Arabidopsis thaliana: one gene and its partners. The protein of the gene in region 4 interacts with the protein of the main gene of each other region in a pairwise test. Each region holds a gene or a part of one and is shown on either strand. Other genes may lie near its edges. The genes, in order: AT5G52050, AT1G74370, AT2G28315 and TH7.

What was found.
Region 1: the proteins of TH7 (region 4) and AT5G52050 interact in a protein complementation assay, tested with the Arabidopsis thaliana proteins (one large-scale study listed by BioGRID).
Region 2: the proteins of TH7 (region 4) and AT1G74370 interact in a protein complementation assay, tested with the Arabidopsis thaliana proteins (one large-scale study listed by BioGRID).
Region 3: the proteins of TH7 (region 4) and AT2G28315 interact in a protein complementation assay, tested with the Arabidopsis thaliana proteins (one large-scale study listed by BioGRID).

Annotation. Positions count from the first base shown.
Region 1 is NC_003076.8:21,135,287-21,143,782, forward strand, and holds AT5G52050 (MATE efflux family protein), read left to right. Parts: upstream 1-3,416; 5' UTR 3,417-3,646; coding exon 3,647-5,164; 3' UTR 5,165-5,590; downstream 5,591-8,496.
Region 2 is NC_003070.9:27,953,365-27,961,125, forward strand, and holds AT1G74370 (RING/U-box superfamily protein), read right to left. Parts: upstream 6,037-7,761; 5' UTR 5,823-6,036; intron 5,667-5,822; 5' UTR 5,622-5,666; coding exon 4,836-5,621; 3' UTR 4,722-4,835; downstream 1-4,721. Other genes in the region: AT1G74360 (Leucine-rich repeat protein kinase family protein), read left to right, coding at 935-1,022, 1,315-4,547; XXT5 (xyloglucan xylosyltransferase 5), read left to right, coding at 6,484-7,761; AT1G74385 (uncharacterized protein), read right to left, coding at 7,361-7,606.
Region 3 is NC_003071.7:12,085,303-12,093,732, reverse strand, and holds AT2G28315 (Nucleotide/sugar transporter family protein), read right to left. Parts: upstream 5,067-8,430; 5' UTR 4,838-5,066; coding exon 4,717-4,837; intron 4,601-4,716; coding exon 4,416-4,600; intron 4,336-4,415; coding exon 4,268-4,335; intron 4,180-4,267; coding exon 4,047-4,179; intron 3,964-4,046; coding exon 3,802-3,963; intron 3,608-3,801; coding exon 3,338-3,607; coding exon of another isoform or gene 3,329-3,337; exon of another isoform or gene 3,253-3,328; coding exon 3,163-3,252; 3' UTR 2,968-3,162; downstream 1-2,967. Other genes in the region: AT2G28310 (trimethylguanosine synthase (DUF707)), read right to left, coding at 5,845-6,048, 6,138-6,191, 6,282-6,348, 6,443-6,499, 6,590-6,703, 6,781-6,882, 6,964-7,079, 7,173-7,256 and 4 more. UniProt on the Arabidopsis thaliana protein: Nucleotide-sugar transporter that transports UDP-xylose and UMP in a strict counter-exchange mode.
Region 4 is NC_003070.9:21,949,529-21,957,033, forward strand, and holds TH7 (thioredoxin H-type 7), read right to left. Parts: upstream 3,953-7,505; 5' UTR 3,865-3,952; coding exon 3,730-3,864; intron 3,567-3,729; coding exon 3,444-3,566; intron 3,363-3,443; coding exon 3,231-3,362; 3' UTR 3,069-3,230; downstream 1-3,068. Other genes in the region: AT1G59725 (DNAJ heat shock family protein), read left to right, coding at 1,210-1,763, 2,241-2,682. UniProt on the Arabidopsis thaliana protein: Probable thiol-disulfide oxidoreductase that may be involved in the redox regulation of a number of cytosolic enzymes.

The DNA of each region.
Region 1 (8,496 bases), on a different chromosome or scaffold from region 4:
ATCTTCGGAAAAAGGAAGCAAAAGAGTATATCACTTGTCATAGACTCATAGATCACAAAGTTTACAACTAATAATATTTCATTAAATATTGTCTTTGCTGGAAAGATAGATTGAGTAAGAAAATGATAAGATGGAAAAAGGGAAACGAGAAGTTGGTTACGAATTTATCTCTTAGAATCCAATGAATTTAGTTGATATTCATTGACACATCATCTCGTACGTGTTACTATTGAAATTCTTTCTTGTTTTACATTTAGATATTGAAATGTTATCAAACTATAATATTCGTTTTTACTAAAATCTTTGTCGTTTTACTAAAAGTCAAATGTTGATGATTCGTTTTCAACCAAATGAAGAAATGTTATAAGTGAAAGGAATCGATATTATCCTTCATCTTTCAACTTTAAATAATCCTACACACTGTTTAAATATTGAATTTGGACATAGTAAAATCTATAATTTAACCTAGAGCACAAAGTAACCAATACGTTTTACTACTAGATTTATCATCATGATCAGAGCAACACGTGTTATAAGGAGTAAGGTTCTTCATTACAAAACATCCAGAATGAGATGAGATCTACCGAAAGGCGTTTTAAATATTTGACTCAATCCACTTTAAGAAAAACATCATAAAAACAGCAGAAATAGACAAATAAATGTATTAATTCATGCTTGTATTAATATTCTTTTGTCAACATATGGACAGCCGTATAGTCCCGTAGTAACTACAAGAGAAAACAATTATATAGGACAAAATGGTACGGCAGAAAATTTTGCACGACGAGTTGCAATCGTCGACAAGATAAACATGACCACCTCCCTTTTCAATTCCAAAAGTATGATATGAGTATCTAAAGGTTAAAATACGTATATATATTTTTTATTATACTTTAGTTTCTATCGATTAGAATATAGATGTCAGTAAACGGTATTATTGTTTGTTGTGATATATATGAGTTTTTTTTCCGACTACACATTAGTTTAAAAGATCACTGATAATCCAAAGTAAAATCCAACTTGTAAAATAACGTGTCAATTTTTTTTTGAAGTGTTCACATATAATTGGATTAAAAGTGTATACGTCTCTAAATGATAATTTATTCGACTAAAAATGATGGGCCATGTAAGAATTTAGCAAAACTAGTAAACCTGAAAGGTATCATTACAATTTACAAATGAACCAATATAAACACGAGAGACCGATGTAAAGTCTTTGTCATCAAACTTATATTTGTAACAAAAGAAAAAAAATCTGTTCAGGTAAGGACAAAGTAGATTTGCAAAACATCACAACTAGAAAAGAGAATTCAAATAGGAAAATGAGAATGTGTATGGGCATACGTTAAGTCCCTTTTCTTCAATGTGTTATGCAAGGTACAAATTCAATTCAATGAACTGAAATATTAATACAATGAATTAGACTCAATATATTCTGTAACTTTCTCACTCTTTCACGCACTAGTTAAGGAATTAATGGCTTACTTAAAAAATAAACAATCACATAATGGTAATTTAATGTACCTTGCTTCATGAGGAGTTAACCATTCTGATTGTTTACGCACGGTGCTGATGATCAATTTCGCAATGTATAGATACTTGTATACAAAAATCAAAGATATTACCAGAATTTTTTTCTTAAATTATGTTTATATCATTTACCTTTGTTTTTTTTTAAAACAAAATTTCAATAGAGGTTTTGTCGATTAATATCAAAAAGAAATAATTTAAACTTGAATGTATTATACAGTAGAAACATCATTAAATAGCATTCAAAATGAATAAAATTTGTAACAGTTAGTTCTTGTGTTAGTTTATGTATAGAAATTTTAGCGAAGTATAGTTGTTGACCCAAAAAAAATGTAGGAACATATATAGTTTTCTTTGGTCCCAAAACGAGTTTATTTTTTGTTCTTCAGTGTTGAACACTATTTTGCTCGAACATGTCTGGTCAACGTCCGACCAGCCAATTCCACTTCATAGTTTGCATATTAACGAACTTCCATCTTTTTGCTGATTACAGCTTTCATTATACCGTTTAGATTTTTCTTTTTTTGCCTAAATAAAAAAATATGACCCTAAACATTCGTAATTAATAGAAAACATTAAATAAGTACGATACAAAAGACTGAATCTCTATAATAATAGATTGAGACCATATTCTTGTGAGATAAATAAAAGATTGAGACCATATTCTTGTGACAATTGGTATACAATTAGGTTACAAATATTCTAATCCAAATTTAATTTCGAGAACATAATCGTGTGAGTAACGATAAACAATTTCATTTTGTTTACAAAGATATATGATATATTGCACTTTTTAAAATCTAATATGCTTACTTTTTTGAGCTGTCATTAATCCCCAAACTCCACTTTGGGATTTTTTTAAAAAGTCTAATTCAACGCGTGGGGCACACCGTGTGTAAACTTCGACTTTGAAAAGTTATAAACAGAAAATGATGTTTTTTAAAAAAACAGGGAAAAAAAGAGAAGTTTCTATTTGAAATAGGTTCAAAACCCACTGGCCAAGTACTTTGTTAGTGGCATGTTTATCATGAGAATATATTTGACCCGTCCCTTGTTTCAGTTTTGCTATTACGTTCCGTGTCAGTTAATTTAAAACTCTAATCATATCTTATTTGATTAAAGAATATAGTGATGATGAAAAGTTATATTTTGTGTACTTGAATGTTTGAGTTGGGCCTCGTCTATCATATGGCAATATCTCCTTTAAGTGTGTGAACGTAAATTACCAATTTCAAGGTCCTCCTCTTAACGTAAATTATCCCAGCTCTCAGGGTTTTTCAGCAAGGGAATAATATAACAATCTAATTAGTCAAAAATTGGATCAAGTGCTAGTAAATTATGCTTGGTTTACTAATCTTTCCTCATTCTTTTTTCCCCATTTTGATTTATGAGGATCACGTTTAATGTAAGGTTTAAATTTCTCAAACCAGAGCTGGTTGTCATCGTTTAAATGAATCTATATGCATGTATTCTATTCCATTAGAAATTATACACACGTAGTTAACTGTAATTAGCTATAGTTAAATCCGTACACACCGTTTTTTCCAGTTTGAATCAGTATAGTGATACATGATATAAGTATATAACATGCGTATAATCAACATACATGATTTAGACAAAATATATTATTATTCTAATTTTTGTCATATAGATTTTGATTCACATTATAAACTGTATATATTGACAAGAAAAAAAAAACATTTGACAAAAGAAGAAAATAATAAACATTTTTTGAAATCATGATTTTGAGGTGATAGTCTATTTATACTAATACTAATGATACTATGTGTCAATGCATCACTAATACATCTTCAGATTGAGTAGAAACCGTGTATATGGATTTAACTCTAGTTAAACAACAAGAACATACAAATTTGAATGTAATAAGCGTGTAACCATTTGACTTGAAAATAAAATACATATGACCAAATTGAAAATAATAATATTAAAATCCAGTGCAACGAAAAAAATAATATGTTAAAACAATAAAACCCACTCACTACTTTCTCTATATAAAGCCAAATGCTTCAACCAATCTTCTTCACACCTACAAATCTTCTTCTTCTCTCTCTCTCCCTCTTCCTCTGTCACACAGATATTGACAAAAACAAAAAGAATGAGTCAATCAAATCGTGTCAGAGACGAAGTTACATTACCTTTACTCCAAAAAACCTCTCATCTGAAAAATCACTCCTCTGTTCTCTCTGTTTTCCTAAATGAAGCAATCTCAATCTGCAAAATCTCTTACCCATTGGTCCTCACTGGTCTCTTCCTCTACGTTCGCTCCTTCGTCTCTCTGTCTTTCCTCGGTGGTCTCGGTGACGCCACTCTCGCCGGTGGCTCCCTCGCCGCCGCATTTGCAAACATCACCGGATACTCTCTTTTCTCCGGTTTAACCATGGGCGTTGAGTCTATCTGTTCACAAGCCTTTGGAGCCAGACGCTATAACTACGTCTGCGCGAGTGTCAAGAGAGGAATCATCCTCCTTCTCGTCACTTCTCTCCCTGTTACACTTCTTTGGATGAATATGGAGAAGATTCTTCTAATCTTGAAACAGGACAAGAAGCTCGCGTCCGAAGCGCACATCTTTTTGCTTTACTCTGTTCCAGATCTTGTCGCTCAATCTTTCTTACACCCATTAAGAGTTTATCTTCGGACTCAGTCAAAGACTCTTCCTTTATCAATCTGTACAGTGATCGCGAGTTTTCTTCACTTGCCAATCACGTTCTTCCTTGTAAGTTACCTCGGTTTGGGGATTAAAGGAATCGCTTTGAGTGGTGTTGTGTCTAATTTCAACCTTGTCGCTTTCCTCTTTCTCTACATCTGTTTCTTCGAAGACAAGCTAAGTGTTAATGAGGACGAGAAGATAACAGAGGAGACATGTGAAGATAGTGTGAGAGAATGGAAGAAACTACTCTGTCTTGCGATACCAAGTTGTATATCGGTTTGTCTTGAGTGGTGGTGCTATGAGATTATGATTTTGCTTTGTGGGTTTCTCTTAGACCCTAAAGCAAGTGTTGCTTCAATGGGAATTCTCATCCAAATCACTTCTCTTGTGTACATTTTCCCTCATTCCTTGAGTTTAGGAGTCTCCACCCGGGTCGGAAACGAGCTTGGTTCTAACCAGCCAAAAAGAGCGAGAAGAGCAGCCATTGTTGGACTTGGTCTCAGCATCGCCCTAGGGTTTACGGCTTTCGCGTTTACTGTCTCGGTTAGAAACACATGGGCGATGTTTTTCACTGATGACAAAGAAATCATGAAGTTGACTGCCATGGCTCTGCCAATCGTTGGTCTATGTGAGCTCGGGAACTGCCCGCAAACTACGGGATGCGGTGTTCTCAGAGGCTCCGCGAGGCCGAAGATCGGAGCTAATATTAATGGAGTGGCGTTTTACGCGGTTGGCATTCCGGTTGGAGCAGTTTTGGCGTTTTGGTTTGGGTTTGGATTTAAGGGACTTTGGCTTGGGATGCTTGCGGCGCAGATCACGTGTGTGATTGGTATGATGGCGGCGACGTGTAGGACCGATTGGGAACTTGAGGCGGAAAGGGCTAAGGTGCTCACAACGGCGGTGGATTGTGGCAGTAGTGACGACGACGCCAAGGAGGATATGGAGGCTGGGATGGTTGATAAGTAGGGAGGAATGAGTCATGAGGAGGTCTTTAACAAAAACAAATTGACTTTGTTTTGAATTAGTTGATAACTTTTTTCTTTTATTGAGAAGAGATTCGTTGGAGGATTAATGTAAATTTTGTAGTGTAATGATAACACAATCTAGAGATTCGTCGTTGTATTCAAGGTTTTTAAATTCATAAGGTCAAATTTTGCTCAAATCGCTTAAACCTTTCTTTATTCGACAGAATTCAGTTACATTGTATGTTTTGTTTAGTGTAACGATTTTTTTGGACGCAGAATAAATCTTGAGAAAATAAATAAACTAACCATTGACCTTACTGAAGAAAATCAATAACCATGGGATTGTGGGTGTCTTTGTTAATTCAATCAATATAACAAACTAAAGTAGCACATGCGGACGAAATGTAAAAATAATGGGGGATTTTTTTTTTTAATATGCATAAATAATTATATAACTATATTTAAATAACTGCAAATAAGGTGTGTACAAGGAATTAAATTCACATATGTATTATAACCATAGTCGACAATTTCAAATATACATGTTTGATTAATTAGCTTCTAGTGATGCTTCGAGGCAAAGTATATCCCTCTATGTGATAGATCATTTACACATCAATTTCTTCCGTGGTAAAATAAAATAGATAAAACCTTTGCGATTATTAAAAAAGCCATAACTATGGGATCATGGTTAGTTTGTGTTTTCTTTTACTTTGGAAACTCCTGATTTAAATAGAAAAACATTTAACATAAAAGAAAAAGCCTTTATTTACACACAGAAGTTTAGCCAATCACTTACTTCTTTCCAAATGCTGCTCACAAAAATAAGTTTTTTCATATTTTCATTAGGATAACGTCAAAAATATCATTTATTTATTTAATAAATCTTTTATCGCTAATTTTATTTTCTATTTTTTATCTTTTTAATATCGTTTATCGTTACATATAATAACTTTAGGCAAATATATATTTAACATTAATTATTTTTTTGCACATGTTTAAGCTATTCGCCAAACTAACATGTCTTCACTAATATTGGCATATATAATTGTCAAACTGTTATAATTCTAGAAGTTGTTAGTTCGAATGACATTTGAGAAGAGACTATATAAAATGTTCTGGAGATGGTATATTGTTCCAAAGGATATACGGATATAAAGCCATAACTTTTTTTAGACATTAAAAACAAGAATAAAAAATTTGTCAAACCATTGGTCCGCTGGTTTCACTCCATCACCAAATGACAAATGATTCAAGTGATATCATGTGTCCAAACTTTAGGTTAACACAGAACAATGAGAAATCTTTAACCGAATTCTAAACTCATGATACATGAACTTGTCTCCAATTCCACATTATGCATCATAAAATGGTTTGTTAATCGTTATCCTACAAAACAACCTAAAAGCTATAAACACTTGAAAAATTTTAAAAAAGTAAAGACTTTTTTGACTCATAAAAGGACTAATACCAAATTTCATAGTTCCAATTTTGAACAAAAAAACACAAAAAACACATGAGAAATAATAACTTAAAAAATCTAAGAACATATGTTGCCTCATAAAAAGACCGATACAAACGTTAGAAACCGCCAAACCGGTAACATATTGTACATCAGCTACCAGATCGTTGATTAAGAATTAAGATACCGGTATAGTCGATGTAGCCTGCCTATACAGACTCATAATCGACCTGAACCCCTTATTATGTGCAATCTAAAACAAGTGTTTTAAATCAAAAGACTAACTACAACAATTTTTTTAATCTAATAATACATTTGTTGTTTGCTATTATAATATAAGTATTTGATTAATAAAATACGAAATAGAGATTCGTATCCACTAAAACTAGTAATATAAGTTGTGGGAATATCCTCCCTTTTAAGTATTTCAAAGGGCACTACAAATTTTGTCTTTACAAAACAACCAAAGTGGATAAATAACTCCATGAGGCACTTCAAAAGTTTCCATACATTAGTTTATTTGTACTTGTTTCTTACGAAATCCCTGTCTTCATGGGAGATTCACTTATGTGATATAGTTTCATTTCTAATTAAGATATTCATTATTGTTTGCAGTACCCTATAAACTAATCAAATGATGATTAAAATTCATTAAAAAAAAAAAAAAGAGTGATTAAACAAGAATGAAACGTGGGTTATGATCCTTAGAAATGAACTACATTATGGATTAGTGTATTAATTTATCTATTTCTTAGATATAAACTAACCAAGGAATTACACAGCACCTTTTTTCTTAACGTGGCAGCTTACAAGAACTGAGAAAGATTTGGTTAGGAGACACATGCCAAGAATCACTCATGTTGGAGTTTTAATAATTTAACACGTACAACTCCAAAATTTTAATGAGCGATAGGGGGTACTTAATTACTTCCTAGGATTGAAGAGCCAATTACTTGTTATTTATTCTGTCAAATTGCTAATTCTTATTGAGGTTTCCACGTGTATACAGAATATTTGACATTAATGCACTGTAGCTAAAACATTATGGAGTTAATAATATTAATAGTAATTTTCGAAAAAGGTTTCAAACCCAGTTATTTGATATATTGTGAAGAAAGGTCTCACATCAGAGATGAAAATGGATTTGAGTAATACATAAAAGACATGAGTTAATTTATTTATTGCCAAATTGATTTAGAATTGGAACCCCATAACAAATTAACATGATATCAAAACATGAATACATGTTGATCCGTTAATACGGTCCAAACAATAGCTCGATCACTCCATGTATGAATGGTTCAACGAAAGCTCTATTCCGTCGAAATAAGTAAAAATGCATTTACATGTTTGATGCTCCACCTAAAAGGATATTTGTAGTAAGAATTAGGTTATATATCGAATTGTTCAAGTTAAGTCGGATTTTTTCTAATATTTTGAGAAACTGGAACGTCAGTTAATCGTGCATTTGTAGTAAGAACACATACTTTTAGGATTTTAGCTTCTCTTTTCATTTTGTCTTGGATTTAATATACTTCGCCTCGTTAACTGAATAAGAGTATATATAATTTTAGAGTACATATATTATAACTTCTAATGTATGTAATGAGGCAGCAATAATTGAAGTTGATGAGATAAAAACTGCAGATAATATTAAGTATCATATATATGTAGTAAACTAAAGTATCAATGTAGTCACATGCATTTGTACCTTATATCAGCCAAATTCAGGAGATTCTGTCTCCTCGACGGAGATTATGAAACACATCTAATATAGTAATTATTAACAAAGCGAGGTAACCATTTGACTAATTAAGAATCATTATAATATATACTATTTGACTATAGAGCGGCCTCAAAAGGCCAGGCCA
Region 2 (7,761 bases), 6.0 Mb from region 4:
CTAAAACTTAGTTAAATAACACTTTTAAATCTCTGGAGAAGCAAATATATCTTTTAATGCTACATAAGTCACATTCACCATATATTGTATGTAACGTAATTTTTAGATTTACATTATGCAAAAGTTTTATCTATTATCATAAACTTACCAACTCTGACACGAAGTCAAACTACTCTGGACCGGTCAACTTAGATGTCACAACTGCTCACCTAATTGTTGCCCTCGCGAGTTAACTTAAATAAAGTAATCTAATTTTATGGTTTTTTTAACCAAATCACACGATTAAAATTTCTAAACTCACACATACTTCAATATATATAAGTTCAAACTGTCAAAATTTATTAAATGTTACCCACTAGGATAAGTTCTTGAGTGCGCAAGTGGTACCGTACAAATTAAAAGAAAAGCTAATGGTGAATCAAAAACAATATTTGTAATTGTTTACTTTTTCTAAGGAGAACTAAAATGAGTTATGGTTTAGTTTTAGTCATATGAGACTCATCTAGTCGATAAAACATCAATTTTGTTTTTGTTCTAAACGACTTCAAAGTTCAATTTTTGAAATATTCAACAAATGCGGTATTTTTCCTTAAGAAATTTTTGATAAAGACTAGTAACGTAATATATACGTTTATACGGGTCAAAATTAGCATAATATGATGACTCAATTTCACCTTTTTGTAATTAATTTTTGTGTTTGAGGAAAAGTCTAATAAATAGGAATAAATCTGTGTGATGTTCAAAGTTTTTCAGTTGCTTGGTCTACGTGCGGGCTGCTTTGTGTTTTTTTCCAACTTCTCTTTTTCTCAAATCTCTTTCCACACATGAATTTCCATGAAATTCATCTTCTTCCCCGATAATTTCCACATCTTCTCGAGGAACATCGCAGAGGACAGTAAAGAAGCAAACCAAGAAGACCAAGTGGAGGAGGACGATGACTATGGTGACGCGTGTGATCATGACGGATGATGATTCTCAGTCACTTTGCTTTCTTTGTTTCTTACTCTTCTTTTTCATCACTGGTAATTTCTTCTCTTCTTCTGTTGTTTGAATTTGAGTTTCGTTGAGAGTTTTTGGGAATTGTAATGTCTTCTCTTCTTGAGTATGAGTTTTGGGTTTCTGTTTCTTTCACGTTTCCTTCAAATGGGTTCAGGGTTTTAAAATTTGACGTGATTTTTTGGGGGTTTCATTGCTTTCATCAATTCAAGGTTTTACATTGTACGTAAATGAATCGCAAAGTTTTAATTTTTACTCTGTTTGATGTCGTTGATGAGTATTTTAGCTGAGTTTTTTGATGTTTTTCTTCTATGGCAGCTATAGCAGTGGCTGGAGATTCTCTGGACAGTGATAGAGAAGTCTTGTTAAGCCTAAAATCGTACCTTGAATCACGGAACCCACAGAACCGAGGACTATACACGGAATGGAAAATGGAGAACCAAGATGTTGTGTGTCAATGGCCTGGAATCATATGTACACCTCAGAGAAGTAGAGTTACAGGGATCAATCTAACTGATTCCACCATTTCAGGTCCTCTATTCAAGAACTTCTCCGCTTTAACGGAGCTCACATATCTCGATTTATCAAGGAATACGATCGAAGGGGAGATTCCAGATGACTTGAGCCGTTGTCACAACTTAAAGCATCTGAATCTTTCTCATAATATCCTTGAAGGAGAGCTAAGTTTACCCGGGTTGTCAAATCTTGAGGTTCTTGATCTTTCGTTGAATAGGATTACGGGTGATATTCAGTCTAGCTTCCCATTGTTCTGCAACAGTTTGGTTGTTGCAAATCTGTCGACCAACAACTTTACTGGAAGAATCGATGACATCTTCAACGGGTGTAGGAATCTCAAGTATGTTGACTTCAGTTCCAATAGATTCAGTGGAGAAGTGTGGACTGGTTTTGGGAGGCTGGTCGAGTTTTCAGTTGCTGATAATCATCTCTCCGGGAATATCTCTGCTTCAATGTTCAGGGGGAACTGTACTTTGCAAATGTTGGATTTGTCTGGGAACGCTTTTGGTGGGGAATTTCCAGGCCAAGTTTCGAATTGCCAGAATCTAAATGTACTGAATCTTTGGGGAAACAAGTTCACAGGGAACATTCCAGCTGAGATTGGTTCCATATCCTCTCTCAAAGGTTTGTACTTGGGGAATAATACATTTTCTCGAGACATACCGGAAACTCTCCTGAACTTGACCAACTTGGTGTTTCTGGATTTGAGCAGAAACAAATTTGGAGGAGACATTCAAGAAATCTTTGGGAGATTCACGCAAGTAAAGTATCTAGTCTTGCATGCAAACTCATACGTAGGAGGCATCAATTCTTCCAACATCCTCAAGTTACCCAATCTTTCAAGGCTAGATTTGGGCTACAACAATTTCTCGGGACAGTTACCTACTGAAATTTCTCAGATACAGAGTTTGAAGTTCTTGATTCTTGCTTATAATAACTTCAGTGGCGATATACCACAGGAGTATGGGAACATGCCGGGGCTTCAAGCACTTGATCTCTCCTTTAACAAGCTGACCGGTTCGATACCAGCTTCATTTGGGAAATTGACCTCTCTTTTGTGGCTAATGCTTGCAAACAACTCTCTATCAGGAGAAATCCCTCGAGAGATTGGCAACTGCACAAGCCTTTTGTGGTTTAACGTGGCAAACAACCAGCTCTCTGGTAGATTCCATCCTGAATTGACTAGAATGGGGAGTAATCCTTCTCCAACATTTGAAGTGAATAGGCAAAACAAAGACAAGATAATTGCTGGTTCTGGTGAATGCTTGGCGATGAAGAGATGGATTCCAGCGGAGTTCCCTCCGTTCAACTTTGTATACGCAATTCTAACCAAAAAGAGTTGCAGAAGCCTATGGGACCATGTTCTCAAAGGGTACGGTCTCTTTCCTGTCTGTTCTGCTGGTTCCACGGTACGCACGCTTAAAATTTCAGCCTATCTTCAGCTCAGTGGAAATAAGTTTTCAGGTGAGATTCCTGCAAGCATCTCTCAGATGGACAGGCTGAGCACACTACATTTGGGTTTCAATGAGTTTGAGGGGAAACTGCCTCCAGAGATAGGACAATTGCCTCTTGCATTCCTCAACCTTACTCGAAACAATTTCTCGGGCGAGATTCCTCAAGAAATCGGAAATCTGAAGTGCCTGCAGAATCTTGATCTGTCTTTCAACAATTTCTCTGGAAACTTTCCAACGAGTTTGAATGACTTGAATGAGCTGAGTAAGTTCAACATCTCATATAACCCTTTCATTTCTGGCGCGATACCAACAACAGGACAAGTAGCAACCTTTGACAAAGACTCCTTTCTTGGAAATCCGCTGCTGCGGTTTCCTAGTTTCTTCAACCAATCAGGGAACAACACGAGGAAGATTTCCAACCAAGTCCTAGGAAACAGGCCAAGAACTCTTCTTTTGATTTGGATTTCCTTGGCTCTTGCATTGGCGTTTATTGCATGTTTAGTGGTATCAGGTATTGTACTTATGGTTGTTAAGGCTTCAAGGGAAGCAGAAATCGATCTCTTAGATGGGTCGAAAACCAGACATGACATGACTTCCAGTTCAGGTGGATCATCGCCATGGCTATCAGGAAAAATCAAGGTCATTCGCTTAGACAAATCAACTTTCACATACGCTGACATTCTGAAAGCAACCAGTAACTTCTCTGAGGAGAGAGTGGTAGGTAGGGGAGGCTATGGAACTGTTTACAGAGGCGTATTGCCTGATGGAAGAGAAGTTGCAGTCAAGAAGCTTCAGAGGGAAGGCACAGAAGCAGAGAAAGAGTTCAGAGCTGAAATGGAAGTTCTAAGTGCCAACGCATTTGGAGATTGGGCACATCCGAACCTCGTGAGGCTATATGGATGGTGCCTAGATGGGTCAGAGAAAATCTTGGTGCACGAATACATGGGAGGCGGGAGCTTAGAGGAGCTCATCACAGACAAAACAAAACTTCAATGGAAGAAACGTATTGATATAGCCACAGATGTAGCAAGGGGATTAGTGTTTTTACACCACGAATGCTACCCTTCCATCGTTCACAGAGACGTCAAAGCCAGTAACGTTCTTTTGGATAAACACGGGAATGCGAGAGTGACGGATTTTGGACTAGCAAGACTCTTAAATGTAGGAGATAGCCATGTGAGCACAGTGATTGCAGGCACAATCGGGTATGTAGCTCCCGAGTATGGACAAACTTGGCAAGCCACCACAAGAGGAGATGTTTACAGCTACGGAGTATTGACCATGGAACTCGCGACGGGTAGAAGAGCTGTTGATGGAGGAGAAGAGTGTTTGGTCGAATGGGCAAGACGTGTAATGACAGGTAACATGACAGCCAAAGGTTCACCAATAACCCTGTCAGGGACCAAACCAGGGAACGGAGCTGAGCAAATGACTGAGCTACTAAAGATTGGTGTGAAGTGTACAGCTGATCATCCTCAGGCAAGACCAAACATGAAAGAAGTTCTAGCTATGTTGGTTAAGATATCCGGTAAAGCAGAGCTCTTCAATGGCTTATCTTCACAAGGTTACATAGAAATGTAAAAATCTTTCTTTCTTTTCTTCTTTCAGATTTATTATACAGAACAACAGAGTTTTCTTCTTCACCATTTTTCGTTTCATTGTTTCTGATTCTTCTTGTACACAGAACCTCATTGTTATCAGACAGATAGGGATAGAGAAAGGTAGTTTTGTTCGCAATGTACAGAGACACAATCTGAAAATAAAGATCTTCTCTTCTTCTTGTCTATATTGAGTGTAAACAACGTTGGCTCTATCTCGTGTTTCTTACAAGTCAGGAAACATACAGGAAGAAAGAAACAGTACAATGAGTCAGGTTGCAATCTCTCTGATCAGCCAGTTTAAGCTCGGGAAGGCAAAATAAAGGACGAGAAACGACGGGACAGCCAAAGCAAACGTAACAAAGAAATAAACCCCGAGAACTGCAGCACTCACAGGGATTGCATATAAAGCCATCAACAGGAATATGACTACCAGAGGAAACTTAGCCAACAAATGAGCAACAAGAGCCATTGACTTACGTACCGAGTCATGGAGCCTCCCAGTTCTGAAGAATCCTCTGGTCACACCATTCCACCAGCTGCGATTGTCCAGCAACCCTTCATCACCCAAGGCGGTATTACTCACTCCATCACACCTATTTCTCAAGTCTCTCTGCCCTGAAGCAACCCTTTTGTTGTCGCTGGGTGCCTCCGATCTGGAGCCATTCATGCTTTCTACCATCCACAGAAGGTAAAAGTTCTTGGAAGGAAATCTGATGGTTCCATTGCAAACCAGCCTTAAAGAGAGAATATTGCACCAAGGGCAAGCAACGAAGAAGGGAAGCTGGAATGGTAAAGCAGAGGATTTGATGACAATGGCACGTTGAAGCCCTAAGAGACAGTACTTGCAGATTGTATGACCACACCATAAGACATAAGGTACATTCTCAACAACGTTGAATGATTCCCAGCAAATGGGACACTCCAATTTTTCTTCCTTTGTTGTCTTTCTTCCATCTCCTGATCTATCTAAAGTAGCTCTTCTTGGTTTTGTAGCAGCTTCTTCTCCCTTCGATATAAAACCTTCTCTGATCGATTTTGAAGCTAAATTCCACATAGCAATGGAGGGATCCACAAAGATAATCACTTTGAATCTTTCTCTCTGCAACAAGAAAATCACACACACATACACTACATAATCAGATATGAGATTTACAATCCAACCCCCAAAGATTGGACCGAGAACATACAAAAAGTAACGAACTTGATGAAACCCAAGAAATCATTAACAGAATTACAGAAAACGAAATACACTTACAAGAGTTTATCCGGTCATGAAGATGAAGATCATTGCAAAAACAAAAAATGCAACAGCTACGTCGTTGAGTTATATAATATCTCCGAAGCTCTGATGTAACCAGCGAGAAGAAAACCGGCTGAAAAAGAGACACGCGTCGTAAAACATGGTGACTCTGAAACGCCTTTCAATGTTTCCGCCGCCCCCACCGATTTCCTCACCTTATCCGTTTCTGTTTTCAGGTTTAACTACCAAAACGCATCGTTTCACTATACCGCCAAAATTAAACTACCGGTTTAGTTCCGTAATTTTCTATTACCGAAATCGGTTAAAGTAAAATAGTAGTTGTCGGTGAGAGTGAGCTGTACGCGTTTCTTCTTCTCCTTGTGCGCTTTCTGGATCGAACGAAGCATTTTCCTCCGACAATATATTTTTAAGTAATGACAATGTTTCCGCATTATTGGGTTTAATTCCATTTTTAAATTAGGGTTCTTCAGATCGACAAATCTTTCTCTTTCTCTTTCCCCGATCGGAATCATGCTAAAGATCTGAACTTTTTCTCAGATCCGTGAATAAGTAAGTACGGAGAGACAGAAACATACTCAGACTGATCTGAGGAAAACAAAGTTGATGGTCGCAAACCTGTAAGTGAAATCTATAGAGAGAGACGTTGAAGAAGAAAATGGGTCAAGATGGTTCGCCGGCGCATAAAAGACCATCCGGAAGCGGCGGAGGACTTCCGACGACGACGTTAACCAACGGTGGAGGAAGAGGTGGTCGTGGTGGTTTGTTACCTCGAGGTAGACAGATGCAGAAGACGTTTAACAACATCAAGATCACAATTCTCTGTGGTTTCGTCACAATTCTCGTCTTACGTGGCACTATCGGTGTTGGTAACCTAGGAAGCTCAAGCGCCGATGCAGTTAACCAGAACATCATTGAGGAGACTAACCGGATTCTAGCTGAGATCCGATCTGATTCGGATCCAACCGACTTGGATGAGCCTCAGGAAGGTGATATGAATCCCAATGCGACGTATGTTCTAGGTCCTAAGATCACGGATTGGGATAGTCAACGTAAGGTATGGTTGAATCAGAATCCTGAGTTTCCTAGTACTGTCAATGGCAAAGCTCGAATCTTGCTTTTAACAGGATCTCCTCCTAAGCCTTGTGATAACCCCATTGGTGATCATTATCTTTTGAAATCTGTGAAGAACAAGATTGATTATTGTAGGCTTCATGGAATTGAGATTGTGTATAACATGGCTCATTTGGATAAGGAACTCGCTGGCTATTGGGCAAAATTACCAATGATTAGGAGGTTGATGTTGTCTCATCCAGAAGTTGAGTGGATCTGGTGGATGGATAGTGATGCTTTGTTCACTGATATACTGTTTCAGATCCCTTTGGCTAGGTATCAGAAGCATAATCTAGTGATTCATGGTTATCCGGACTTGTTGTTCGATCAGAAGTCGTGGATTGCTTTGAACACAGGTAGTTTTCTGCTGAGGAATTGTCAGTGGTCGTTGGATTTGTTAGATGCTTGGGCGCCTATGGGACCTAAAGGGCCAATTCGTGATGAGGCCGGGAAGGTATTGACGGCTTATCTGAAAGGTAGACCAGCTTTTGAGGCAGATGATCAGTCAGCATTGATCTATCTCCTGCTTTCTCAGAAAGATACATGGATGGAGAAAGTGTTTGTGGAGAATCAATACTATTTGCACGGGTTTTGGGAAGGTTTGGTTGATAGGTATGAGGAGATGATAGAGAAGTATCACCCGGGATTGGGTGATGAGAGATGGCCATTTGTGACCCATTTCGTTGGGTGTAAACCGTGTGGTAGCTATGCTGATTATGCAGTCGAGAGGTGCTTGAAGAGTATGGAGAGGGCCTTTAATTTTGCAGACAATCAAGTGCTCAAGCTGTATGGTTTTAGCCATAGGGGATTGTTGAGCCCCAAG
Region 3 (8,430 bases), on a different chromosome or scaffold from region 4:
TAGATCGATATTAATACAAGATGATATACTACAGGTGAAACTCTTAAATTAACAACCAAACTACAAGTGTATAATCTTAAACACTAAACAATATAGATAATATCAACAAAACATATACAACTCACAGTTTACTATACATTTAAAATCAAATAAAATAATATCATATATATTTAAATCATCTTTACAATAAAAGTTTTTAGTTTAACTAAAGTATAAGCCTACCTGCGGTATACTGCAGGTTAATAACTAGATTATAGGGTTTATTGGATCTAAAGACGGGTCATCAAAGATCTGAATATTCAAATATCTATCTGTTACCAAATTATAAACAAATAAGTTCGTAAAACAATTTAATATTTTATATACGAAATCAATTAAATCTTAATCACATAAAAATTAGCACAAAAAATGTATTCAATAATTAAAAAATTATCAAATCTCTGTGTTATATAAGTTTTGATACTATATTCGAATAAAGTGTAATATATCTTTTCAATTTGTATTCTTTAACTAATTTAAGCTAACTTATATAGTTGCTAATCTTATACCTATCAAAACCGACTATCGTTTCTTATCTCTATAGTATTTTTGCAAGACTTTTTTGGTGGATTTGGATAAAAGTGCATTCGGGTCATATGGTACAGTCTCCTATTAAATAAATATGGTGCACTCATTTGTTATTAGATAAAATGTTTAGATTATAATTCAGAGTCATGTCATTAATAAAATTAATATTAATAAAATAAATGGCTTTTTGGCAAGACGGATTTGGAGGGACGGGTTTTTGAATCAACATTAATAAAAAAGTAAAATATAATTAATCCACAATTTCAATACGGATTAAATCTTTAATTTATTATATTTTAAGACCACTAATATTAAACATATCAAATCATCCTAATTTAGAAAAGGTTATATAAAACCAAAAATGTTATGTGGTATGTATAATGTTATTATATATAAAATTAAACTATAAAATATAAATGTATTAGAGAATGATACAATTTGCAAAACTTTTATATATAAAAAATAATTCTTAAATTTTAAAAATTACTATTTTTAAAAAAACCACGGGACGGGTAAAGAAATTACAGAACGGGTTTTATTTTGGAATTGGGTTATATGGTAGATGTATTTGAATCAATATTTATAAAATTTTGAAATATGTTTAATATGCTGTTTTAATAGGGGTTAAAACTTAAAAATTTTAACAATTGTCTCATGGATTCGTGGTATAGCGTTACTTAATAACAATTATAAACTGTAAAATATAAATATTTTATAAAATTAAAATTTACAAGTTTTAATATATATTACTTTCAAAAAATGAAGATGGAAAACTGGAGAAATAAATTTATTAGAGTGAATGATGATAAACTTTTTTTTTCCTGTTAATTGAAGATAAATCCTCACCACCTGTGGAGGAGTTCAAAACTAATCTCTGGGTAGATAAAGTTTTTTAAAAAATAGTTCACATGTAAATTTTTGTATAAATCACATATTTAATAGATTTAGCGTGGTACATTGATCATATACAACATTGAAGTATTAAAGTAACTATACTAGAGTAATATTAATTTTTGTACTCTTTTCTCGGAAGTGAGCTTGTTGTGTCTTATTTATCAATGGTTAATGTGCAAATTGCATCAGACTCTTATTAGTATTCTTATCAAATTTTCCAAATATCTATCTTCTCCAAAGTGGATAAAATAGTATCTTGCTTTTAATTTTAAAATACTGATATTAAGATATTATGCTTGAAAACATATGGTTTTAATGGGAAAGTGGCACAATTTTAGATTATATGTCACTCAGTGGCTCAAAAACAAACAAATGAAAAGTCATATAGCTCATCTGGGTGGTTTGTACCCATCAAACACTACTTTGTTATAAACGCTTTACAAGATATGTTATTGGGTAGAAAATCAAAATAAACATATCACAACAAGAGGTAAGACAAAACTCTTGGGAGCTTAATCACATTCACATACAGAAACTACTTATACTAAAATGCAAGCCATAGTTTTACTTTATTTTGCCAACTCCTAAATTAACTAATTCAATATGAGTGGAGACTTAAAAAAAAAAATGGCTAAAGAAAGTGAAACCAACCAACAAAGACAAGGCATAGTCTCTGAAAACACATGGAGACAAAATAGTAATCTTGAAAAATAAGCATTAGCGTTGATCGATTGAGAAATATGTAGAAACGTATCACAACATCGTTGGACAAAAGGCCAAAACTGTAGTAATTTGTAGGAATAAGTCATCATCATATAATTTGTTTAAAATGATTTTTAGTTGGATTGTTGGTTGTTGCAAACAAGTTGGCCTATTGATGAAGATTGAAGACCATTTCTCATTTATTATTATTATTTTTTTTTTTTTGTCATTCGTAACTTGCAAGTCTCACAACCACTAGTTTTTAATTAAAAAAATTATTCGCTTTTAAGGGAAAGTTTCATTGCCAATTCTCTTTGTAGGTCCATAAGACCATAACATAAAAATGTTATACATATACTATTCATGGAAAGATAAAACAACAACGACAACGTAGCATGTGAACAGAGGATGAATTCTCGTAAACGTTAGACGTAACGCACATGTAATATTTAACAATATACATATCTATATGTATATATGTTATAAATTGCATTTAAATTTTTTATATGGAAAGGAAAAATAAGAGCATAAAGCATTTCAATTATTAGAAATTTCTGGTTCCTGTTATCCTAAAAACCGATAATAATTATATGCATATGTCAAATCGCCCATCATTTTTCTTCCATAAACTCAAAAACTTCATAATTTATCACATTTTAATCACCGAAAAGTCCAAAACCGTTTTGAAACTAATTGTATTTTAAACACTATTTAGTACTATACTATTTTATTTTATCTTCTTAATAGAAAACAATCATTTGATCATTTGAAGAACACTAACATAAACCAAAGAACACGTACGAGAGAAAATAATTTTATAATCCTTGTAAGATCCAAAAAGGAGGAAATGAAATAGGAAATGTAAATATAAAAAAGAAGAGAAAATGCCCATTGGCTATTTCAATTTTTTCTCAATTACAAAAACATTATCAATGAATGAACAAAAAAAAGGGACACAATTATAGAGTCGAAACATAAAGAAAGAGTTATTGTACTATTTCATACTGGAGAATGCTTGTCTAATTTCTTGGCTTCATGATGGTTCTCATTTTCTTGTCCCAAAAGCGGCGTCGTATCTCTATCTTTCCCCTGTCAAAAAAGGAATAAAACCAAAGTACTTAGAAACTTTCAACACTCATTATTTCTATCTTTTCTTTTTGTGTGGTTAACGTACAAGAAAAGTGGAATCGGAGGAGGCTTGTTTGGATTTAGAAGCAACTGAGCAGAAGTAGGAGTAGAGAAGCATCCCGAGGACAGCGATGAGTATTCCTGCGATATTACGAGGAGTGAAGGGATCGTGAAGGAGAGTGTAACCAAATGCGAGCACCAAACACGTTTTGAGATGTCCCAAGACTTGGTATGTCACCGGAGATGTCTTTCCAATCACTAAAAACGTACTGAAGTTAACCGAAACCGCTATCAAACACGACAACGTTATGAACCCCTGCATGATTCATCATTGTCAAATTTCACAAAATTTTAGTATCTATCTAGGGACGTTATGATACAATCATGGCTCAACATGGGCACGGCTCTAAGGGGCCATGCGAAAATGGGCTGGACCGATCCAGGACAATGATTCTAATTCTATTTTAACACCAATTGGGAATAAATGGAATTAACGATGTAAAAAATTACCACGACGATGGGAGAGTAATGGAAGGAGAAAACATTGAGGCTAGTGAGGTATTTGTCGACAAAAGGACCCGAGACGAAGAGTATAGCAGCTTGGAACGGGGCTGATTGGTATAGGAGTTGTGTTGATGTCACGTTCAGTCTCTTCTGGATAGTGTTTGTTAGCTTCACCACAACATTTTCATAGTCATATTAATTATACTATGTATTAGTTATTAAACATTAGTTTAATGAAACTTAAAGCATACAATTTGGCCGACGCAAGTTGTGGCAATGGCAAGGAGAGATAGAACAGAGCCAACAAAATTGAGCTGAAGATCTGTGATTGATGCTATACCAACCCCAACTAGCAGCAAAAACAATGAGAATTTTATCTTCTGGCTGCAAAACCAAAATATGTCATTCAAAAAAAAGTTATTTATGTAAACAATAAAAATTAAAATAATCTTATGTATCAAGTTTGGTTCACCTGAACTTCTTGTTGAGGAAGAGGGTTTCTAAAAGAACAGTGAATGGTATGATAGCAAGTTTGGTCATCTGCCATTAGTTATGGACAAACATCAAATTGGTGAATCATATAATTGTTACATGATCAAAAGTATGTCGAAGATATATACTTGATAGAAGCCGATGGAATTAAAGCCGAGGCTGAGATTGAGGAGACCAATGGAAATGCCATTGAGGAGGCCAAAGAGAACAACAGTTCTCATGTCTATTGGTTTATTCTCAAAGAAGTTTAGTTTATATGCCACATGAAGTGTGCAATATGTTACCATCAAATGCCAACTAGTAAGTGTTGTTGCTGTAACAAAACCATAGCAAAAAAGCGATCAATCCTAAGACGAATAATCGGGTTTTTGATAAAGATCTTACAAAATATATTCTCACAAAGCAAAAAAAAAAAGTACTAGTAATTACCAAAAGGGAAACCAAGATTGGTCATCAAAGCTTTGTTGCAAATGACAATGGAGACAGAAGATGCAACTGATAGAAACAATGCTCCAATCACACCCATTTGCATACTCTTCATCTCTCCCATTTTTTCTTCCTCTCTCTCCTCTCAAATCTTCAAATCTATCAAATGAAGAGAGAGAAAGAGAGATATATATTGATGTGAGAAAAAGAGAAGGATTGTGAATGTGATGAGTGATGAAATGCAAAGGTGATATAATGAGATTTTTATTATTTGTTTGTATAAAAATGGTTGGTGTCTAACACCAAACTTCTGTTCTTCCTAATTTCATGTTTTAATAATTATGACATTTACATAATTACGCACAAGATACATGAGAAAAACTATAATGATGTTGCTTAATATTTGTTTTTCCTCATAAGAGACTTCTACTAATGATATGATAGCAAATTCTTAACCATAAAAAAGACTCTGAAATGAAACAGCCAATGGAGGGAGACATTGTATGGTTTTCTATGGACAAACAATTGACTTGAACTAAAAGCAAAAAGGAAGGTGAAACTGAATTTCTCATACTTTTTCTATTGGGCAAAATATTGTAAAATAGAAACTAAAATGAAAATTGAAATTATTTGGATTTGGTGTAAAGCTTCACACTCACTCCAAAGTCCATACCAATACCCTTCTCTTCTCCTTAATTTCTCTACCATTTACGTTACCTATTGAGAGCAAATATAAAATAGCCAATTTATGAAATTGGGTGAAATAGATAAATCATGAAACTGGTTATAAGTCTTGTTTTCTTATTGTCTTTTCAGAAGTCAAAAAGATTATGTAATAACAACCACTTCTATTACACCTTTGTTTTCTAAAGTTTTTTTTTTTTACATGTTTCACTTCTCTCTTGTTTAGTGAAAGCAATTTCTTTTTAAAAACATCTAAGAATTTGAAATGGAGAAAGTAACAAACAACATAATAAAGCTCAATCAAAATGTATAAATCTTACACAATATCAATAAAAAGGGCTTCACACATGTCCTATGAAAACCTAATTTAGTGTAAAATATTTGATATACAAAAGTAAAAGTTTTTTTAATATATTAATTATATAGAAAGAAAAAAGAAAAACAAATCTAATCTTTCACCATCTTCCCAAGATACTCTTTATCAGCATCAGCCAATCGGTTCTGAAACATTGTCCATTCCATTTTGCATCTATCTCTCACTCCTTGCCATGGAGCTTTCCCATTCTCTGACTTTCCTTGACTTCCAAGTGAAGGTATCACTTTATGTATTATCCATTGCGAATCCACAACACCAATCTTCTCATGAGCAGGCTGCAAAAGCAAAACACACAAATTTTCATCATCAGTCAAGAGAATATTGTGTTATTAAGGTAAGCAAGGGGGGGGCAAAAACAACTTACTTCAACGCATCTTCTAAGCGCAAAGTCGAGACCCCATCCATGAACCAGATCATTCTGCATCAGAAACATAAACAAACTGATCAAAACAACAAGCATTATTTTGATGGACTAAGACTAGGACTATGTATCTACAGATCGACGAACCTGAATCATATGCCACACACATCGCCATGCTTCTCGAGAAAATACAGGCGCCATTATTTCAACAAACCTGTGAGAGGGAATTTTTTTCAGAAAACTCAGTACTGACAATGACTAAACACTCTTGAGTTGCTCTAAAGAGAACGTTTCAAAGAGAGACTTACGCGGCACATGGAGGTAAATGTGGGTCTTTACACCATCCTGGTTTCTCTTTTGTATCTCTGTTCAACAGTAAGTAACAACACATTTCTTAATTCAGAACCAAATTTGAAAGAAAGGCAAAGAAGAATGGTTAGAGAAGGAGATCTTACTTATGGACTTCCCGGTCACCTCTCCTCTTTGTCATTTCCCATGTGAGTCCATTGTTAGGCTCTAAGCCTGGTTGAGAAATCTCTAAACCATGCTTCTTAACTAACTCAATGTACCTGAAGTTTTAATAGAATTCCATCACAAAATGTAAAATATAAGATTGTTCTGCTACTTCAGACAAGTAATAACTTACTTATCCGCATTGAAATGCTCCACTCCAAGATCTTCATCCCATATAAATATGTACTCATAAGCTGACACAACATCAGGATGCAAAAACCTCTTCGCGTACCACCTGCCAAAACCAGTAGAGAATTTCGATAAAAACATACTCGACAAACATACTTAATAACCGGTAAATGACCAGATGACTAACCATTTTGTTTGCTTTCTTGTACTAATATGAATCGCGCTCTTCGACCACTCAAATTGGTCCCATTCAGTTGTCCGGCCATCATAATGGAAGAGCAAAATTTGGAAATCTTCAGAAAACTGAAGATATGACAAGAAAACAAAAAATCTGAGTGTATCCACAAAGAATATATAAAACAATACTTGCTAAAACACATGCTGATATTGCAGAACCTTCTTAACAACTCCATTAATATGGTTCCTCTGCTCAAATCCAACTGTAAATGTCACAAGATATTTTGGCTTCTTCTTCAAATCCTGCAAAGGTTATTGTTTTGACATTAACTATTCTAATGGCCTTCAGAGATAAAACCATATATATTGAGAAAGTAAATATAGAATGAGAAGTCAATACTTCATTAGGTTCTCCCCATAATCTACGCAAGTAAAAATCAGTTTTCGCCACAACGATTCCTGGAGGTAGTAGTTCTGCACCACGCGGGTTAGTTGGAACATATATCTGCAATCAAACATACAGAAACGATACATTTCATCTGAAATGAGGCACTATTCTAGAACATAATCGAAAAGCTAACGAAAGGGAACCGAACAAGAAGTTTATTATATACCTCAGGAAACTTTCTTGAACCGAAATCTTCAGGGGATTTGTCACCAGATATGGCTACATCAAGAGATGATATAAGGCGCGAGGGTAAGTTAATCTGCAGGAATACGAAACAAAATTCAACAGGTGCAAAAATGAAAGGGACACATAAAAGGACCTATGAAAAACAAAACTCATACCTTAAACGAAAGTGAAGGTAATGTGATACCAATAAAAGTCCCAAACACTATCCCCAAAATAGTAGTAATAATAACCTTTGCATTTTCATTCGTTCTTCGAGGAGCACCACTGCAAAACTAACCACTAAGTAGTAATCTTCATATTGGAAAAAAAACTCTTTTTTTTGTATTACAATCTATCAGTTAAGGAAATTATACCTGCGGTGCATTGTTCCCATTTAGTTAGAAATATCTCCAAACACTCTAGTCAACAAAATTGAGTCACCCCAAATTGTAAAAATTCAATCTTTTTTCTGCAGTAGCTTCAAAACGCAAACATAATACTTCAGAGAAGATATATATCACAGTGATAACTAATTGTAATACTGATAGCTAAAACAAGGCTACATCGAAAATCAAATTCAGCATAAAAGAGATGAAATCGCAAATAAATCTTGAAAATAAAAATGAGATTACTTACAGGCCTTACAGGATTATTAGATCCGGAGACGCCGGTGAAGAAAGCTGAGAGATTAGAGCTCTCAGAGGAGATTCTCCGATCTGTGAGAGCAGAGAGTGATAAAGAGTGTGACAGAGAGAAAGAGAGAGAGATTTGGTGGAGAGGCCTATTTGCGTCGAATTTTTGGAGGTTTTTTAAATTCTTAAAAGGCCCAAACTTTTTTGATTAATTAATCAAAAGATAAGCTCT
Region 4 (7,505 bases):
ATTTAGAGAACTCCTCTTCTCAAGGGTTTCAAATTAGAGTTGAACTCCTCTTCTTGAGGGCTTCAAATTAATATATTATTTAACAAAATTTGAAAAACTTGAAAATAGCCAAAAATGACTATATTGCCTTTGATTTTGGATTTCATAGAAATATTCTGCATTTTTTGAAAATGGAGAATAAAGTTGCAAAAATTGAAGATTTTGAGGGTTTTTTTTATACACAAAACCCACATATTAAACATCTATATATAATCCAGTTAAAGATATTTAAATATAATCCCAAGAAATTTATTTTAATCATTTAATTATTTTTATTGTGATAACATACTCTTATTATGTGTAATATAATTTAAAAATATTTAAAATAAGTTTGAGAAAACCAGAAAATTAAAATTAATTTACTTCACTTTAGTTTTCCTGTATAAAATTTAAAATACTATTTACAAATTAGCTTCTTCTTTAAAATACTATTTTCTTCTAAATTAGTAACATAGCTTTGAGGTTTTGCTTCTAAATTAGTAGTGTCAGATAGTCATGTAACCAAGGCATTAACATAACACCCTATAGCTACACGTAATTATTGGAGAGGAGAGTTTGAGAAATTTCAGGTTAGGAGCTCAACATTTAGAACAACAAATGAACAATGTACAGTCTTCCAATTCGAAAGAGAAATCAATAAATAAAACTCAGAATGATACAACTTAAAGAAAAATTGAACAAGTTTAAAGTATGGAAGATTAATATAATGTAACTAATAATATCACGTTAAGGGATTAACATTTTGATAAATCATTATAAGCCCCAGTAATCTACAACAAAAATTAACAGAGAGACGAGAAATAATGGTGAGATGCCAAATAAAAAGATTCAAATAGAAGATTCTAGATACTCAATTTTCATTTAAAAATAAAATTGTGCCTATAAACTATAAATGTATCTGTATCTATAATATATAATACATAAGATTACAAATAAAATAACAACAAATATTTGAAACAGAATAAAGGTTCCAATTAAAGTATTCAAAGATTATGCTTGTCATGTTCTTCTTCTACCTTTCTTACATACACGTACACCACCACTTCTCTCTTCTTCATTATCTCCTTCCTCACGCTTTCTCTTCATTTTTGATTCTTCTCATTACTCTGTCTTCGTCTTTCTCAACGACGTCCTCTGAAGCTTCGTAGCGATTTCGAACTGTTCTTGTCAATGGGGGTTGATTACTACAATGTACTCAACGTGAATCCAAGCGCAACGGAAGACGATCTAAAGAAATCGTATCGAAGACTTGCAATGAAATGGCACCCTGACAAAAACCCTACTTCAATCAAGCAAGAAGCTGAAGCTAAGTTCAAACAAATCTCCGAAGCTTACGATGTTTTAAGCGATCCTAACAAACGTCAGATCTATGATCAATATGGTGAAGACGGACTTACGGCGACAGAAGCAACGGCGTCGTCTCAACAACATAATTACTCTTCTGGTAACAACAATAATTACAATGCAGGGTTTAGGTATTATCCACGTGATGCTGAAGATATTTTCGCTGAGTTTTTCGGTGCATCTGAGAAAGTCTTTGATGGTGGCGTCGGCGGTGGCGGGAGGTTTAAAAGTGCGGAGGCGGGAAGTCAGACGAATAGGAAAACTCCGGTGAACAGGAAAGCTCCGGCGATTGAGAGTAAATTGGCTTGTACTCTTGAGGAGTTGTATAAAGGTGGGAGGAGGAAGATGAAGATTTCCCGCGTTGTTCCTGATGGTCTTGGGTTAGTATTTCATAACACATGATCTAAATGAAATCGCCTTTTTTCATTCAGTTTCGTTCGTTATATTAGTAGTTCGTGATTACGTAAATTATATTTGGAAAAGTGTTGACCAATTATTTTGTGGTTTCTTGTATGAGTCAATGGATAATCCTCTGTATATATGCTCTGTTTTTGTGATTTATCTTGATGGTAAAATTTTGTAATCAAGACGAAACAATTATCCAAATTGTTGTGTTTTTGACATTTTTCTTTGATAAGTTTTCTTTATTTTTCTCTGTTTAATGTTGTTGTTATTATTGGTTTTTTTTTTTGTTTTTTTGACAATTTTCCTTTGTTTAATTGCGTTTTTATCTCTAGTGATGTTGATATTGTTTGATGATTGATGTACCTAATTATTTTCTTGTTGCTACGTTTGATTTTTCTAAGCCTAGTTGCTTTTTTGGTTGTGATCAATATATATTCATGTTTTGATATCAGAAAGTCAAAGCCAGTGGAAGAGATCTTGAAGATAGATATAACACCAGGATGGAAGAAAGGAACTAAGATAACTTTTCCAGAGAAAGGAAACCAAGAACCCGGTGTTACTCCCGCAGATCTCATCTTTGTTATAGATGAGAAACCGCATTCGGTTTACAAAAGAGACGGTAACGATCTTATTGTAGACAAGAAAGTTTCGCTTTTGGAGGCTTTAACAGGGATCACTCTTAGCTTAACAACACTAGACGGGAGGAATCTGACTATCCCGGTTTTGGATATCGTTAAACCGGGTCAGGAGATAGTGATTCCTAGTGAAGGAATGCCCATCTCTAAAGAAGGTTCAAAGAGAGGAGATCTAAGAATCAACTTTGAGATATGTTTCCCCTCGAGGCTAACATCGGAACAGAAGACAGATCTCAAGAGAGTTCTTGGTGGTAGCTGAATTGGCAACTAGTTTCAAGAAAGCTCTTGAATTCAAAAGGTCAATTCAGTGTACATACATATACAGAATTGATCGGTTTTCGTTTTTGATCTCATATCTTGATCACGAAATAGTAAGCAGAATTGATTGTTTTTTGTTGTAAAAGCTATCTTTGTTGTTATCTAATTTATTCTGCTTTCATAAGTTATATATGTAACTCTCAACTTCATACAAGCTCTTCGAAAATGTTATGTAACGTTTGTTTTTTTCCATTTAGTATTTTAACATATACTTGGAATGGGACTCTTTTTTTTTTTTTTTTATGGTATAGTTCTTTTAGTCGCCATACTCACATTACCATTGTTATGTTGTTTTGCTTACGTTGGGGTGATTAGATTTCATACAAATATAACTACAACATTTTTGTTAATTGTTTTCATTTTTGACATTATTATTTATATTGTTTTGAGAAATTAAACAACAAACCAGAAACCCAACTTCAAACAATCAATTCAGAACAGACATTCAAAAGTATAATAATCATTTTTTTGTAAGGGAAAAGAAAAAACTTAAACCCTATGTTGTTCAATCTTCTTCACGAGCTCATCAGGTTTGGCTCCAACAACCCTATCAATCTCTTCTCCTCTCTTCACAAAAACAAAAGCTGGAAGTGTAATAGCTCTATATGTCCCAGCCACATCCTGGAATACATACCAATTATAGCTTAGTCTTGAAACCATAAGATGATTCTTCTTCAAGTAATAAAAAAAAAGAGTAATTACCATTAGCCTATCCACATCAACCCTAGCAAACACAGCTTCTGAGTACTTTGAAGCAATCTCCCTAACTCTAGGTTCCATTGCTTTACAAGGTCCACACCATACAGCTGTGAAATCAATTACTAGCTTCAAAACCACAATAATTTTTTCAGTTAGTTTAAGAGAAAAAACATGTCATTTACTTGTAAACAAAATTAGAAAACACAAATAGTATAAGATTTAAAACAAACATTATAAGTTTGGTTAAAAAAATTTAATACGTTTTAGGTAGTTTTCGAGTAATGTATACCAATTTGTTTGAGCCTTTCATGGAATCAAAGAGAGATTTCCATTGTCTTCTTGATTCGATTTCCACAACAAATCCATTACTGGTAATTTCCATTGATGAATGAACATCATGCACAGATGAAACATTGGAACCCATTATCTTCGGAATGTGTATGTATGAAGAAATGGTGTTCACTTATTTGCTAGTGATATACTGATATGCAAAGAAGAGAGACAAGGAGGAGCATTATATAGCTTTTAATCGGAGAACTTAATTTGTTGGTTATAAATAAATAAGTAAATGCAAAGGAATATGATTCAATTTGCTATCCTTCTTTAGTTCTAGCCGTTGATTTTTTTATTTTTTCAAGAATATATAGCTTATACCAATTTAGTTTCGCTTTGTGTTTTTAAAATTCCAGTTAGTTGTTAAATATTCTCCACTACATAAAAATATAGCTGGTTGCAAGGAACTAGCTTGCCTATCACATTTGCAAACGAATTTTTTATTTTTGTGGGTGGATAACAATCCGCGGCGGATCGATTTTCTAATTAAAAAATGGTAGCCTAGGTACTTGATTTATTAGTTTAGATTAATTAGTTATTGTCAACGCTATAAATTAAAAGTAGTTAAAATTTGTTTTGTTTAAATAATATATGCACCATCCACTTCAAGGATCTAATACCTATATAATATTAATGCTATTAATTACTATAAAAATAAAAATGTCACATGGCAGGAGAGTTTCTAATGAGAACTCATTTTTATTTTTTTCCTAATTGATGGTGATACTCTTATGTCTTTACTGAAATCTTTAATTTACATTTACATAAAACTTTACAGAACGAAATTAGATTAGAATAAAACGAGAAAAAAATTTGCAAAATGACCATGCATGTCATTGTAAATTTGTAATGTTGTTTGGTGTGTCCGTGTGTAAGAATATTGATTTGTGTTAAAAAGAAGCTGTCATCAAATTCTTCCTCAAGGTCCTTCTTATTCCATTTCAGTACTTATAGGAATCATTGTCGAAAATGAGTTTGAAATTAACAATTTATTCGATACTGGGGGACAAGAAATGCACGTCGTAGCCACGAACATCATCTTTAACTTTTTGCCCATAAACTTTCACATCATCCTCTTATAATTCTCATTCTCAAGGAACTAGGAATGCTGATTCAAAAATACAGTTCGGTGATGCTCGAATATCTTAAATTTTAGAACATATTGTTGGGGTTTAAGATCTCGATTTGCAAATATTAATTTGAAACCATTTTTTGGTCTGATTTCTAATAAAATTGAAACACCACTGTTTTATAAGAACTAAAAAAAACTTGTAGAAATGTTGCATCAAAGTATGCTTTATAAAACATTAAATATATATATGTTGGGATCAAAATATGCATATATATATATTATATATATATATATATGAAGGCGTTATCAAAGAAATACAACAAGTTTTTTAGAAAACTGAAAACATTAAGGAATACTTCTTAAATTTGTAAGTACCCTTCCTAAGACTTTCTTTCCCTTACTTTTACTGTATTTGGAATTTTGGAATTGTGTAGTTTAAGACTTAAAAGAATTCTCAAATATTTATTGTACTGGTAATTCATAAAGTAAACTAATCACGTTTAGATATTTAAACATGTGTAGAAAATCGTTTTTAATTTAGATTTTGCCTTTGAATTTATTCATTTTTTAATCATAATTTATCGATAATATTACACATGACTTTCTTAAAGGTTGCATGAGTTCTGCTACCCACATATTTCTTTATTCCTAGCTCGATCTATAAAGATTCTAATATAAGTTTTTCCACAATCTAAAGAATTTTATTCCATGAAATCGTATCCATACAATTTTATATTGTTGATTTTCTCTCTTTTTAATTTATGTAGGAAGAGTAACACAATTAGTTCAATACCTCTGTATTTACTTTTCTGCTACTAAGCAATATATTACAGTTACTTATAAAATAGTTCTGTATAATAGTTCAATAAAGTTAGTTATATTTTTGCAAACAGAAAGTGTGAAAAAGATACAAGAGCAGAAGAAACGATTCTTAAATACAAGTGCAAGTGCTTTTTCCTTGAAATATACGGTGATTTGAATCACAAACCTTCTTAGCTAAATGACCATCTTATGATAAAAACAAGATGTGGCCGCCACGAGAAGTCTAAGCAAGGAAGTAGGTGCATATGATGAACTAGGTACGCCGACGAACATAGAAAAAAATGAGGTACAGATTAAAATCCATTTGTGGAGTATACACAAAATGTTTGTTTGAAAAACAAATTATGAAGAGTTTCAAGATTGTTTTCAAGGAACTATCAATAATTTATGTTTGACTCTATATGTAGACTGATATGCAAAAGATCAAGTGTGGATGAATGAAATTGGATTGGATGACATTATTTTGAGGCCAGGGGATAAAGATTATAGAAGTAGCAATATTAAATGTGGTAGATTTAAAACAACGACAATAGCATGAACTAAGTTTTGCTGCTGGTCACTGTCATTTATCGCTGGCCAAAATTAGACGCATCCTAATAATTAGCCCACCTTATGTTGAAAACCTAATTAGGCTAAATACACTAGAGCATACTTCGCTAACACATCGAAAAACACTGAAAACAAACAGGACGTAGGATCAAGTTGCTAACTCACGTATCTCATCATAGTAACAAAAGAATTAATAACTGCACAGCGAGAGATAAATTTAACCCTAATCTAAAATAATGAAGAAGAACATTGTGGATTTTAAGGTACAACATATTTCGTCTGTTCAATCTTTCACACCACTTAGCTCTCTCGTATTTGGATTATATTGTCCAAGTTTGGCCCTAGCCCATACTTTACTAAAGCCCCATTAAATAACTTCAACAATGTTCAACCCAATCTCACAATCACAAATGCCACTTTTTGGTTACATTCTCCTTTTCTATGTTTTTCCAAAGGTTAAATTCCTTTCTTATGGCTTATGTTGGCTTATGACGTATCCAACATTTCACTATCAAGTTTGGGTTTAAACAAAACAACTGGTGTGGTGTAGATTGAACATTCGCTTTCTCATGGATTCTAAAACGTATAAAAAGAATAAAACCTTAGGTCCACAACTACAACTTATGAGGTAGAAAAAAACAAAACTTATGAGGTAAAATATATATATAACTTCAGAAAATATGAGGTATATATCGATTTATTGCGCACGTAATTTATATATACTATATTTACCCATGCATAAGTATTCACGTATCTCTATAGTCACTGTATACGTGTATGCTTACGTAAGAATACGTACATGACATATTCATGGAATTTTTCGATGCATACGTATATTTATTTTTGATAACTTTGGATGTTTCGTATTAATTTGGTATCGCTTAACATTCTCTTTTTTATTAAACAATTAGTTTTTCAGTCTATTGACTTGATGCCTTGATGGCAATTCAAAAATTTGATAAATCTTTTGACTGCTAGCTCAATTAATTTCTCTTTTTTTTTTTGTTAATATTTTTTTTATAAATCAAGTGGTATTCCAAGCATGAAAAAGGTTTCATGAAGGGTCCAATCACAATAAAATAGTTCATATCATCTTGGTACGAAATTAGGGGGTAGAATATGTATTACATTATATCTAAAATTCTGTTTATTTTTCTAATAATTAGGAGGTTTTGGCATACGTCCATGCATTTCCTCAGACTCAGAACCAAAACATGTTATATGGTCTCGTCCTAAAAACTACTCGAATGAGTAACTTCAAGATTTTGCCATAAATTGTTACCAGTTGA